Saccharomyces cerevisiae S288C: one gene and its partner. The protein of the gene in region 1 binds, or shares a complex with, the protein of each later gene. Each region holds a gene or a part of one and is shown on either strand. Other genes may lie near its edges. The genes, in order: CTF4 and POL1. A codon is read from its position in the direction of its gene.

The links.
Region 2: the proteins of CTF4 (region 1) and POL1 are in contact, whole or in part, in a crystal structure (PDB 4C93), measured with the Saccharomyces cerevisiae proteins. Residues at the interface, in NP_015461.1 of Saccharomyces cerevisiae: Asp863 (codon at 1,003), Lys864 (codon at 1,000), Leu867 (codon at 991), Arg868 (codon at 988), Ala871 (codon at 979), Gln891 (codon at 919), Arg893 (codon at 913), Ala894 (codon at 910), Ala897 (codon at 901), Lys900 (codon at 892), Ile901 (codon at 889), Arg904 (codon at 880), Ala905 (codon at 877); in NP_014297.3 of Saccharomyces cerevisiae: Phe140 (codon at 4,678), Asp141 (codon at 4,675), Asp142 (codon at 4,672), Ile143 (codon at 4,669), Leu144 (codon at 4,666), Glu146 (codon at 4,660), Phe147 (codon at 4,657), Glu148 (codon at 4,654), Ser149 (codon at 4,651).

Annotation. Positions count from the first base shown.
Region 1 is NC_001148.4:797,541-802,822, reverse strand, and holds CTF4 (chromatin-binding protein CTF4), read right to left. Parts: upstream 3,590-5,282; coding exon 806-3,589; downstream 1-805. Other genes in the region: ribosomal RNA-processing protein RRP9, read right to left, coding at 1-464; MSS18 (Mss18p), read right to left, coding at 3,966-4,772; TOM5 (Tom5p), read right to left, coding at 5,114-5,266. UniProt on the Saccharomyces cerevisiae protein: Accessory factor for DNA replication. It plays a role in accurately duplicating the genome in vivo.
Region 2 is NC_001146.8:428,289-435,181, reverse strand, and holds POL1 (DNA-directed DNA polymerase alpha catalytic subunit POL1), read right to left. Parts: upstream 5,096-6,893; coding exon 689-5,095; downstream 1-688. Other genes in the region: AVT4 (Avt4p), read right to left, coding at 1-183; MET4 (Met4p), read right to left, coding at 5,429-6,893. UniProt on the Saccharomyces cerevisiae protein: Catalytic component of DNA polymerase alpha, which in complex with DNA primase (DNA polymerase alpha:primase) constitutes a replicative polymerase. POL1 has a role in promoting telomere replication during interaction with CDC13.

The DNA of each region.
Region 1 (5,282 bases):
TTTTCCCCTACCCTGGTAAAGCTCTGTTTTGCTTCAGATATTAGAAGTTTATCGCCAAAATATCTGAAGACTCGGCCTTGCTGTTCAGCAACGTCTTCTTTTAACCTGGACGCAATGATATCCTTATCCAAATCTCCAGCATCAAAATTGTTGTACTCGTCGATTGTTCTTTCCTTGAGATTGTTTAAATCTTTTTCTTCAGCGTTCCTATTATCAGTTAAAATGTCATTAGCTTCGCTTTTCAGATTCTCCAGATATTGCTTTGCAAGCCTCCTTCTTTTATCGGCTGGATTTTCACCCTCGAATTCTTCTTCAGATTCCAATGCGTCTTCTTCATCCGAAACTTCTAGTTGTTCATCTTCGTTTGAGGATGGATCTGTGATTTCTTCGTCTACTGTGGGTTTTGATGGATTAACTTCTCCTTTGGATCTTTTCCTCTTTTTCTGTTGGGTAACATCTGACATCTTTTCTAGATTTTCTATAATTTTGAAATGCTAAAGAAGAAATAAAGAACTTTGAATTGATGCTTATTTGAATATTTACGGTACAGGACCAGGTGTTACACTGTTTAATCAAAGCTCATCTATAAAATGTCATCTCTTTTTTTTTTTTTCATATTTTTTCACTTTTTCCTTTCGCGAAAATTCGCAAGGACGCTTCCAGCTCAGATCATGTTCAACGTAACTCTTTATTATCGTCGCATTCAAAGAAATATATGTTAATGTGGGAGCATTTTGAACGATGATTTGAACAAATGAACAGGTATCAAATAATTGTCTCTTGCGTATATATATTTTACATTTTTTTATTTCAATTGCTGTTCATATCTAGCTTCCCTTATATTATTAATTTTTTTAACGAGAGAGGGCAGCTCAGCTCTTTCTGATATCTTAACGGCTGCAGTAAGTGCTCTATCTTGTTTTAATTCATGAGCAAGCGAAAGAGCCTTTTCAACATTTTGGTCTGAGCATGCAGACGCAAATAAACGTAACAAAGCCTTATCATATGCACCGTTCAATGCTGCCAATACCTCATTTTCGTTGCCGTACATTTCACCGTCATTTTCGAGTGTATCTGTCAACAGCTCTGACAAAACCTTGCTGCGCAGATACTCTTCTTCCGCCGCCATAGAAACAGGAATCTGTATTTCTTTGTCTTCTTCCCCTTCTTCCGCTTCGGTGTCAGCTCCAATTTCGTTCTTTTTATTTAATATAGCTTTGTTTTCCTCTAGTAATTTACTCTTAACAAATACTGGCATTCTAATCTCCATTTCGGATGGCAACGGAAGGGGAAACTCGGGCCATATATGCTTGCCCTTAACTAAGATACAATTCAATGTGTCATACGCCAAAGCCAAGGGCCAGACATGTATATCTGTCGTTTCCTTCCCTCCTGACATCTTCCATATTTCCATGTTGCTATCTAGAATAGGGAGCCATTTACTTTCTTCTGGTGATCTCCACTTTGATAACAATAGAAGCGTGTTGTCGGACCCAAAAATGCATGGATCTCCGTAGCTTGAAAAGAACAAACTTTTGATGCCCATCGGATTAAAATTGTAGTAGTCAAGATTTGCGTCTTTTTTCATATCAGAATTAATGTTTGGTAAACTCATTGGAAGTGGACACTCTCTTTTATAGTACCTTTTACTAGAAGTACCCAATTCAGATAAAGAGTATGAAAGGCCATGAAACTGCGAATAATGTACTGAAAAAACCCTATAATTCTGAGCAGTAAGCGCTACAATTGGGGATGTCTTTTCAACAGCAAATGGAACCCCGAATTGATTGAAACTTCTGAAATAGCCTAATGATGTACCAACAATAACGCGAACCGGGGTGGCTGCCACACTTGTTATTCTCTCACCAGCTTGCAAAGGAATAATCTTGGTCCAGTTTGAATGTATGCTATCGTGTGGCCTATATTGTATCTGCCCAGTTTTGGATTGGCCAAATAAAGTGCCTTTTTCATTTAGGAAGCATAAATCGTAGCCAAATAAGTCCTCGAAATGGTATTCTCTAAAACGTCCAACATCAAAAAAAGAGACAGTTATGCTGTATTGCTCACTATTCTTGACAGTAGATACGTAGCCCACTTCATTCATTGTCAAATAACGCCTGTCAGTAAAGCCAAAAGGTGTTCCCGCTGGAGAAAAAGGCATATAACGAAATTTTCCTGTGTTTGCCAAACTGATTGGAAACGAATGAGTCTTGTGTACTCTCGAATAAGAATGTTCATTATGTGGTTTTTTGCCACTAATATAACCAGCACCATCGTCATCATCAATAAAGTCTTCTTCATCTTCGAAGTTGTATTTTCTCTTTTCACTTAATCCACTGGGGCCGTCGTGTGTTTGAGTGAACACATCTTCCGCATTCGCTTCTTGAGTAATATCTGAAAATAGCTTATCGCTTTTGTTTATATCATCATTTCCCTCTAAGTTTTCCAAGTCAGATTCGGAGTCTACAAAAAGCCCATGTTTAGTTGAAGATTCAGCAACAGATTGGTCAGGTATATTAGATACTACGGACTCTGCCAAATTTTGGACAATGGCTATACTACCGGACCAGGTACCTAAAACAAGGTCTAGAGTTTTTGAGTCCGCTTGGATTTTCCAGGCAATATTAGTAATTTTTCTTTTGAATTCCCTGGTGTAGTGGATCTCGGAAGTTTCCCAATTCCATACCGTTAACTTATTATTTAAATCTACTGCCGCAATGTAAGTTCCACGTAACGGGTCAAATTGCAAATCAATGAAATGAGCCTTTGTTGATGAGAGATTTGTGGACAACGTCTTTTGTAGGGAATATCCCTTTATAGAGAATATTTTTACTGTATCATCTGCACATGGTAGCGCAAAATGCAGACCCTTCGGATGCCAAGCCACTCTCGTGCAAATTCTATTAGCAGCACAGAATTCTGGATCAGCTACATTGTTCTCATCTGGATCAGCCGTTTCACTCAGGTCATTATCATTGTCTTTATCTATATCATCCATCATATTCGAGAGTATCTTATCTCTGTGTGTATCATCATATGAATTGGCCACTATGTAATCATTTAACTCATGAACTTTGTTTGGAATAGTAGATGTCAGAGAAAAAATTTGTACCTTACCATTTATCATTGAAACTGCTAAAATATTCATCTGTGAATTGTAAGAAATTTGAGAAACTTGTTCATCGATTTTAATGGCATGTTTTTTGTGTGTTTCATCGTCCAATTCCAAAAGGATTAGTTCTAAGTCGTCTCCTCCAAATACGGCCATTTTACCTGAATGAATAACACAGCAGTCACGTAGGGGTAAAGCAAATCTAGCCAATAATTCTTCTTGACTAGAATCGATGTTATACCTAAGAGCATCACCTTGCATTGTAGTCATCAGAAAGTGCGAGTTTGAATAGCATTTTATAGACGAGACCAATTTGGAAGAATCTAAAGTCTCTGGCTCTTCTTCTGGGTTATTTGTCTTCAGAATCTTGGTTAAGCCATTTTTATTGGCTACACACAAAGTATTATTATCTGGTGCGAGAGAGACCAGAGTTTTCCCACCAAAGTCAAAAACAAGCTTGTCTATAACTGAAACCATAATAGTACGTCTAGTATATTTACGTCACTTCTTGCCCTTCTCAATTATTTTTCCCAAGCTTTCTTATTAATTTAATCTATATGTTCCCATATGTTGGCGTATTCAGGAAACTTTATTACGCGTCGCGTTAAACAGTTAACAATTAATCATTAGTGGAAATTAACGAATCTTAGTGAAAACACCCATTCTCCAGGTGAGATTCTTTCAAGTATCAGGCAAACTACGATTTCACCTAATGAATATCACAAGACGTTTTGAATAATTTTCTGAAGCAATTATGAAACATTATGAAGATATATACGAATATGGATAAGCCTTGTACCTGTGATTTTACACTCAAATTGGACATAAGTAGTACATGAAGAGGATGATTAATTCATCCTTTAACGCGCTTGTTCGAAAATCCTTTGAAACCATGTAATAATATATCCAGATTTTCGGCTGACTTCTCATCAATGTTCATCATCGTCGTTTCGTCGTCTTCTAGACCATTTAACCAAAATTTCATACTCATTGGTAGAGAAGAATATGTGTGGTACAGCGACGGTTCAAAGTGAATTATATTTGGTCCGTATTGGCCGTCTTTCATCCCGACTGATGGTGTAGAATGTTCATCGACCAAAACATCATAATTCCTTCGGCACTGTTCTTCCTCTAACCTGAAAAACTCTTCACTAGATATGTCCACGCCTTCACCTTCTGTAGTGCTAACGTAACGTACCGGCCTCTCAGCAAACAAAAGGTTGCTGTCCCGTTGGAGTTGAAGGAAAGGAGAATCATGCACTTCTACTTTCCCATTCCATCTATCTAGCAGACTTGAATATTTCTGTTCCAGGTTATCATTTTTCTCTTCGTTCGTTTGGACACTAGTCATCGTGGTTAGAGTGGGTTCCTCACCCTTCGTATTCATTATGAGAGCTTTTAAATTAAATAAAACCGTAGCCAGCTTACGAATATCAGATGAAGCCAGTACCAAGTCTAATTTCGGTCTTGTTCTCTGAAATGTGCCATTATTTACTGCGAAAGTCGGCCTTGCATACTTAATATTGGAGAATGTACTCAATTCTGCAGTTATTCGGTTATTCCAATATAGTTCCTTCGGTGGGTATACTGTTTGATAGAATAATTTTAACTCCACAAGTATGCAGTTTTTTCGAAGAAAGTTAACTTCAGGTAAACCCATATGTGCACTGATTTTCTCTTTTCCTTGGTTATGCGTAATAAAGGATTATTTTGTATCGCAACCTTCAATTAAGGTTATCACATTTTAATAATAAAAGCTGGTAAAAAAAGCCGAAAAATCTGCCTGGACAAACATACAGAATACGCATATATACAAGCGAAGAAAGGAGATTTAGGCTCATTAGAGCAGTATCAATTTTTTAAAAAATATTTACACGTCTTTCTCTAAACTATATAAGGTGGGGGGCGCAAATTGACCATTATTTAATCAAAAGCAAATACAAAAAGAGAAACATATTTTAGTGTCATTCATAGATGCAATCTTTTTTCTTCAGTGGGGAATTATTTCCATTGCTTTTTCACCAAATGCCAGATCATTGGGGAAACCCAAAGAAACGCAGCCACATAAGCGGCCTGTTTCAAGGTTTTCTCAGTTTGTTCTTGATGAGCTCTTTTCTCCTCTTCGGAGACTTCCTGTTGAGGTAGACCAAACATTTTATACTATCTAGTT
Region 2 (6,893 bases), on another chromosome or scaffold:
AACGCTTCGACATATATCCCTCGGCGTTAAGGTAGACATAGAATACTTCCTACTATAAAATGGGTTTGAATTGAGAACTGTTGATTGAGCCCTTCTGGGAATTTTCATATTATTGGAAGGATGCCTTAAATTTCCGTTTCTTCGGATCCCAAGGTGCTCACCATCTCCATTGTTAGTGACCATTGATGATGTGTTCTAGGATATTGTTATGTTGATTCCAGATTATGAATGACGTTGAAATGTGTTTTAGAGGAGGAATGATGAGTGCCTTTGAACCTAAGGAATCAGATGGCTAAAAATGCTATGTCACCTCGAAAGCAAGAGCAGATCAAGGTAAATGATATCCAACTATATTGTGGGTATTGCTTTTATCAAACTGGCTTATGACAGTGCTTCACAAGATTTAAGCATTCTATTTCATTGATGAAGCTGTTCGCTTATCTGATCTTGCTGATAAGGCGAATCTTAATGCATGGGTTTATTAAAGGATGATGCATGTGAGAACTGATCACCAGAGCCGAAAAAACATTCTCAGAATATCGCTGAAAACCTTCAATAATAAAAGCTTCCTAGCGCTCCTTCCGATGTCTGTACATTAGGTATCTAGTAGGATGCGTATGTACAGTTGTATTCTTTTCTTACTATATAGAATATTCATGAGATCACACAACACATACAAAATACTTACCTAATTTAGCATGAAATCAAATATGCTAGTCATATCAACGTAGCGACGTCCACAATCGTTCAAATATTTTTGAACAACGCTCCGGCCGGTTTCCATTAGTTCTCTGTTTTGTTCTGTTAAAGCCTTAATAGATGATTCTGTCAGCTGTTCCTTGGGGTAGTCGAGATCATCGGGTAGATATATTGGCTTCAATTCTTGCTTTTTATTTTTTTCACAATCGAATAAAGAATCGAAATATAAAAGTTGATTGTACAATTGCTTGTCACTGTATTTGTATCTCATGACACCCGTGCAGCCGTCATTCAAACAACGCTTACCAAAAACGGAGACTTGTCTTGTAACTATACCGCATGTGCTGTCATCACACTGTAACCACCCTGCGTAATATAAGGAAATGTGTGCCCTTATAGAATGCTCTATTTGGCTAGTTAATTGAAGAGGAGTAAAAAGTTGCTCACAATGCTTGCACTGTAAACCATTATATGACACGCGATAGTAATTTGAAGATACAATACCACCAAATGGAAACCTTTTATCGCATGATGGGCAACTTAATTCTAATGTTACAGTATCCTTAAACCTTTCAACGTCTGTAATTGTTGTTTCTAAGGGTTGCAAATTATTAATATCTTCTCCATTGTTATTACCGCCCTCTCTTCTAAAATACTTTTTACTATCTAAACCAAGCGCTTCACTCAAACGCACCACGTTGAAGCTATCAATTCTTTCTAACAACCTTTCTACCGGCGCGAATATTTGTTTCTCGAGATAATATTGTGGATCAGGTATCAAATTGTTACTTTTAATCATTACCTCATTCAATGCATGGGCACGTTCAGCCACAGAAAGAGCCGGCGTATCCGCTGCATTGTCTATTTCATCCTGCTTTGTGATCACAAAAGTGATGACAGAGCCAGCTTTAACAACTCTACCAGCCTTACGCATTCTTAGAGCTACTTGGACTGCAGGCATGTTTTTACCACCTGGGTAGGCCTTGGGATCTTTTGAAAGCTTCATATTGATCTTATATTTATCAATTCTAATGTTATTGGTTTCCACTTTTATTCTGATGTCTTCTAAGTAATCATACACTTCTTGCAATGCTTCTTCTGGGTCCTTATCTGACAGGATGGTGTTTAAAACATGTATAGAAACGTCCCTCGAAAGTGGACAAAATTCACGACGCTTCATGTCCAACCCTTTAACTTCTAGAACAGTAGTTCCATTACCATTTTTGTCCAAATTTACAGTCAAAGCAGCGTACTTTTTCTTGGCATGTAATAGTAACTTCTTAAAAACATTATCAATATCAATCTCCAATAATCTATAGCGCTCATTTACTAGCCTTTTAAATCCCAAGCCAATTTTAATTGCATCCGCATAATTATCACAACCGGTATCTATCATGACCGAATCTGTATCACCATAAACTACAAGAAGATTCATACTTTCAGCTAGTTGTCTTGTATTCATTAAAATCTCACGACCCTTATTAGTGACTAACATGGCGAGCGGCTTTGCGTAAAATCTACTGTTAACATAACCCAAACAACCATACATAGAATTGGCAGTCAATTTTAGAGCTTGTTGACGAATATCACATTGAACTCGCTTATGGGGATCAGTTTCAGTTTTCATCACCTTCTTAACTTCACGTCGACGATCCACCAGATTAGCTAATAACCTTGGTAAAACACCCTGATCCACCTCTGAAGGAGGTACGCTTGGTAACTCATCGATATCTTCCTTATTTCTATCAACGGTGGTAAAACATATATTAAATTCCTGGATAATAGATGGATACAAAGAATTAAAGTCCATGACTAAAACGTAATTCTTATGAAGACCTTTCTCAGGTTCAAAAACTAAACCACCCTGATATTTTGCCTTTTTAGAATTAACTGGTGCATCAGCATTTTCTTCATTTTGTCTTTGTTTCTGAGCTCTACTTCTATTGCCTTCTTTGTCAGGAACAATAAAACCATTTCTTGAAAATTCATGTAGTAAGATATACTCATTTCTACCAGCTCTTGTACCGCCTAGCGTTTGGGCCCATGCATTACCAGCCAAATTTGTCAACTGTTTAGTCAAGGTTAATAATTGAATTCTATAAGACACCTCAGCAGAAATCATACAATTAGTAATATTCTCTTGTAGGGCCATTGTCATACTATTTACATCATTTTGGTATTGTGGATTTTGATAATCAATATCTAACGGCTTATGCTCCTTTTCACATGTAACTTGATACATCTCTGAAAGATCCCAACTTTGACATTTGGGTGTTAATGATTGACCCATTTCATTGGCGATATCACATATCAGCCTACCAGAGCAAATGTCACTAATAAAAAAATGGTTCATATTCGAATTTCCTCTACCGAATTTTTCAGGCCAAGTCCTTCTTAAACGACGGCCAATAGAGCTGAACGTTGGAATGTTGAGATCATGCATTCTATGAGCTAAAACATCTAAGTAGACATTTTGCAAACGATGGCCTATGATAACATCTGGGTCTTCCACTTTTAACATAGCACAAAAACAAGATAGCATGGCCTTTTCGTTGTTGAACAACCTGACTCTACCGGGTAGTTTCTGTTTTGCCAGTGCAGCTAAACCTAATGGGAAACTAGTTGACTGAGGCGGCCTTACTAAAGTACACAAGTCGTCTGGTTTTATATTTTCAGGTATCGGTGAATCCAACGAGATATTTCTATATGCTGATAACGTTATCGAAACAATCTCTTGCTTATTTTCCTTGGGATTCATTAACGTCTGAATCGATAAAGATAGACATCTCAGATTAGGCATTGTCTTTGTTGTAGTAGGCGTGATATTCTGAGGCTTATCTACCGAAACTTCAACCGCACAGTGAGAAGCATTACGAATTGAATTGAAATCTGCTCCCTTTATATCTAACCAGCATGGTCCCATAATCCTATTTTGAATAACAAAACTTTCAAAAATATTGGAATTCCCACCAAAAACATGATAAAAGGTATCGCTAGATAAATCCGATGGAATGGTGTCTCGACTGGACTTCGGTGTTTGGTATGGAAGTAAGACTTTCAAATAATCACTTTCAGATGGAATGTCAGGAAGCTCAAACGAATATTTCATTTTTTGAGGTTTAGCGCGGATATTATCCAGTCCATATTTATCCATCAGTAACGGAATTATTTCCTCGTGTATATCGGTAGGTGTTTTACCCTCTCTTGGAAGGAAAAATAGCTCTCTACAGAGACCGTTGATTTGAACCATGGCTGACACACAATTATCATCCTTTAGTTTAACCTTACCAAATAAAATCAAAGTGTTGTTCACTTCACAGTAATCCAACCAAAACATTTGGAAAGTATCAGTTTCCGGATCTACCACATCTTCCTTTTTGACATTAACCGCAAGTGTAGCAACATCGGTGTTGCTCTGCAAAGATTTACTTGGAGTTAGTCCTTTAATACCGATTGGCGTTCCGGGTGCTGTGACAAACGGTGAAGTTGAAGGGTTACTTCTTGAGTCTATATTCACGCGTCTAGTTGTTGTCACACTTCTCATAGTTCTTCTTTTCAGAATAATATCTTCATCACTATCTTCATCATCTTCTTCATCAGCCAAACTTTGAGCGGATGGTGGATTTGCTAGTAACGTATCTTGAAGTACATTCTGTCTCTTTGTGGCTACTACTGGGGAATTTTCCACATCATCCAATAAATCCTGTACATCATTTGCGTAGCGCAGTTTCCTGCTTTGTAATTTTAACGGTGATGATTCGATTTCTAAATATTTATCAGTACTTGAATCTGGATCAATCTTGACTTTTTTAGAAATACCGGCATCATGACTTGACTCATCGTTTCCGTTAACTCTCTTTATTGACGATTTAAATTCACTAGTCGGCGAAGAATTTAAATTTTCCCTTAATTTGGATGGCAGTAAAATATTGGGTTTTTCTACTTCACCAGATTCAAACTCACCAAGAATGTCATCAAAATTATCGATGGGGATACTTTTTTTTTGGGATTTTTTTGCATGTGCTAGCAGTGTTGATTTGGAATGTTGAGTTCGCAGCATATCTGTAATCTGGTGGTCTTTCTCCCTTTTTATATTCTTCTTCCTTTTAGAATCCTTGCTAGCAAGGTTTCCAGTGTCTTCATCACTTGAACTGTTATCAACTTCCCTCCAATCTTCTTCGACACCACGATCGACGTAGCCTACACCATCGTCATCTACAACAAAATCGTCATGCAGCAATTCCTGGCGCTTTCTGGCCCTGTATTCTTTTTCGTCGATTTCGTCGTATATTCTGTCACCATCTGATTCGTCACCTTCGTAATCATCGATGGATGTACCATTTCGAGCGGCTTGCAGCTTTCTCAATTTTTCTAATTTTTCACTTTTAGAAGACATTTTCCACTGTTTATTTTATGCCTTGATACTATTTGGTTTCTAATAGCAGAGTGAAGACAGTTTTTTTTCTCGTGAGTCTGAATTGGTATGTGTTCGTTGTCTAGACCAAGAAGATATATATCATCCAATGAGTAAAGAATTTAATTCAGTAAAATTGGATACACGCGACGCGTTTTACTTATAGGCTAACAAAAAAATTTTAACGCGTTTGAATAGATGTGTGATGAATGAAGAATAGAGATTGCAGGCAGTACAAGAAAAAAGTTATATTTCTTTAAGAAAAATGCACGTATATATATATATATATATAATTAAACTGTATAGTCTGTTATTTTATTCTTTCTGAACCTTCTCAAAAATTTGCTTCTTTAAGCTTTCAGCTTTTTTTATTCCTTCCGTTTCACCGCTACTCAGAACTAAATTCTTTAAAAGCTTGTTTTCCGTTTCTAACGTATGTATCCGTTTTTGTAAGGATGCTGCAATTTCGGTCAGTTCATGTATCGATGATTCTAACTCCTTTTCCTTTAGTTTTTTTTTTTGATGAGATTTTTTCGACTGTATCAATAAATCTTCATCGTCGTCCCCTAACTCTTTCTTGATCAGTTGCTTCTTTTCAAAGCCGTGTAAATCTGCATCGTCATATTCATCGTCTTCATTATCAGAATACTTGCGGTCGACGGGTACTTTTTTATTTTTCAAATCTCCGGAGTGTGATCTTTTTAAACTATTTTCCTTGTGATCAGAAGAACTTGCATTTAAAGTTGGCTCGGATCGTATCTTGGCAATTTCGTCTCCACGCGTCGTACTTGACTTAATAACAGCGTTATTATGATGGACATTATCGTTTCCATTGTTACCGTCACTCTCTCTTGATATTTTATGATCGTTTCGTGAAGGTTGTCGTTGATTGTGAATATTATTACTTTTTGGATGCTTTATGCCCAGTTCCAAAATGGAGCTTAGAAAAGAAGCCTCTGCTACTACACCGTGCTCATTGAACGAAGGCGACGTTGATAAGGTAGTTGGCGCAGCAGTTTCAGCCGGAGAGGGTGGTATTAAGACACTTAAAAGTTCGTTGATGTTTTTTAGAATGGGTGCCTCTTGACTGTCATTGGTGTTGATGTTTTTATTATTATTACTGTTATTTTCCCTAATCTTTTTTTGATGATGATACGCCATTATTGCGGCTATAGCATCTATTTGATCATTGTCAAATCCCGCGCTGATCAACGAGTTATATGCGCCGTTGGGCACGTTGACCCTCGGTAATAGAGTTACTAAAACAGAGGTTGGTATAATTGAATAGTCAGGAACAGTTATATTGGGGGCTTTGTTGGAGCTGTTATTATCGCTGTTACTATCGACTTTGCTTTCCGAATGTTTTCGTTGTTGTGAAGAGGAATTTTGAGCAGAAGTGACATTGCTTAGGGGGGAGGAGCGGTTCGGTGTGTGTGTTGTCCTATGTAGTAGATTTGATAGCGCATCCACTCCATTGTCACCGGTAGTATTGTTCTCAGTTGATGTAATGTCAACATTTGTGAAGCCGCCATGGTCGATTGATGTCATATTAGTTGCGTCAGCGGGAAACTGAGAAGGGCTTCCCATAAAGTTTGGCTCAAAAGGATGGTTATTTTGCATATTGTCGCCAAAGTTGTTTGTTTCGCCGTTATTGCCATTTCTTTTGTTTTTGGACGAAAATCGAGACTTTGATTGGTCGTATTGGGAAGTTAGGAAAGTATTCCTTCTTTGAGTCAAGAAGTGAGGATTTCTTTGTCTATTATTGGTAGAAGGGTCCTCA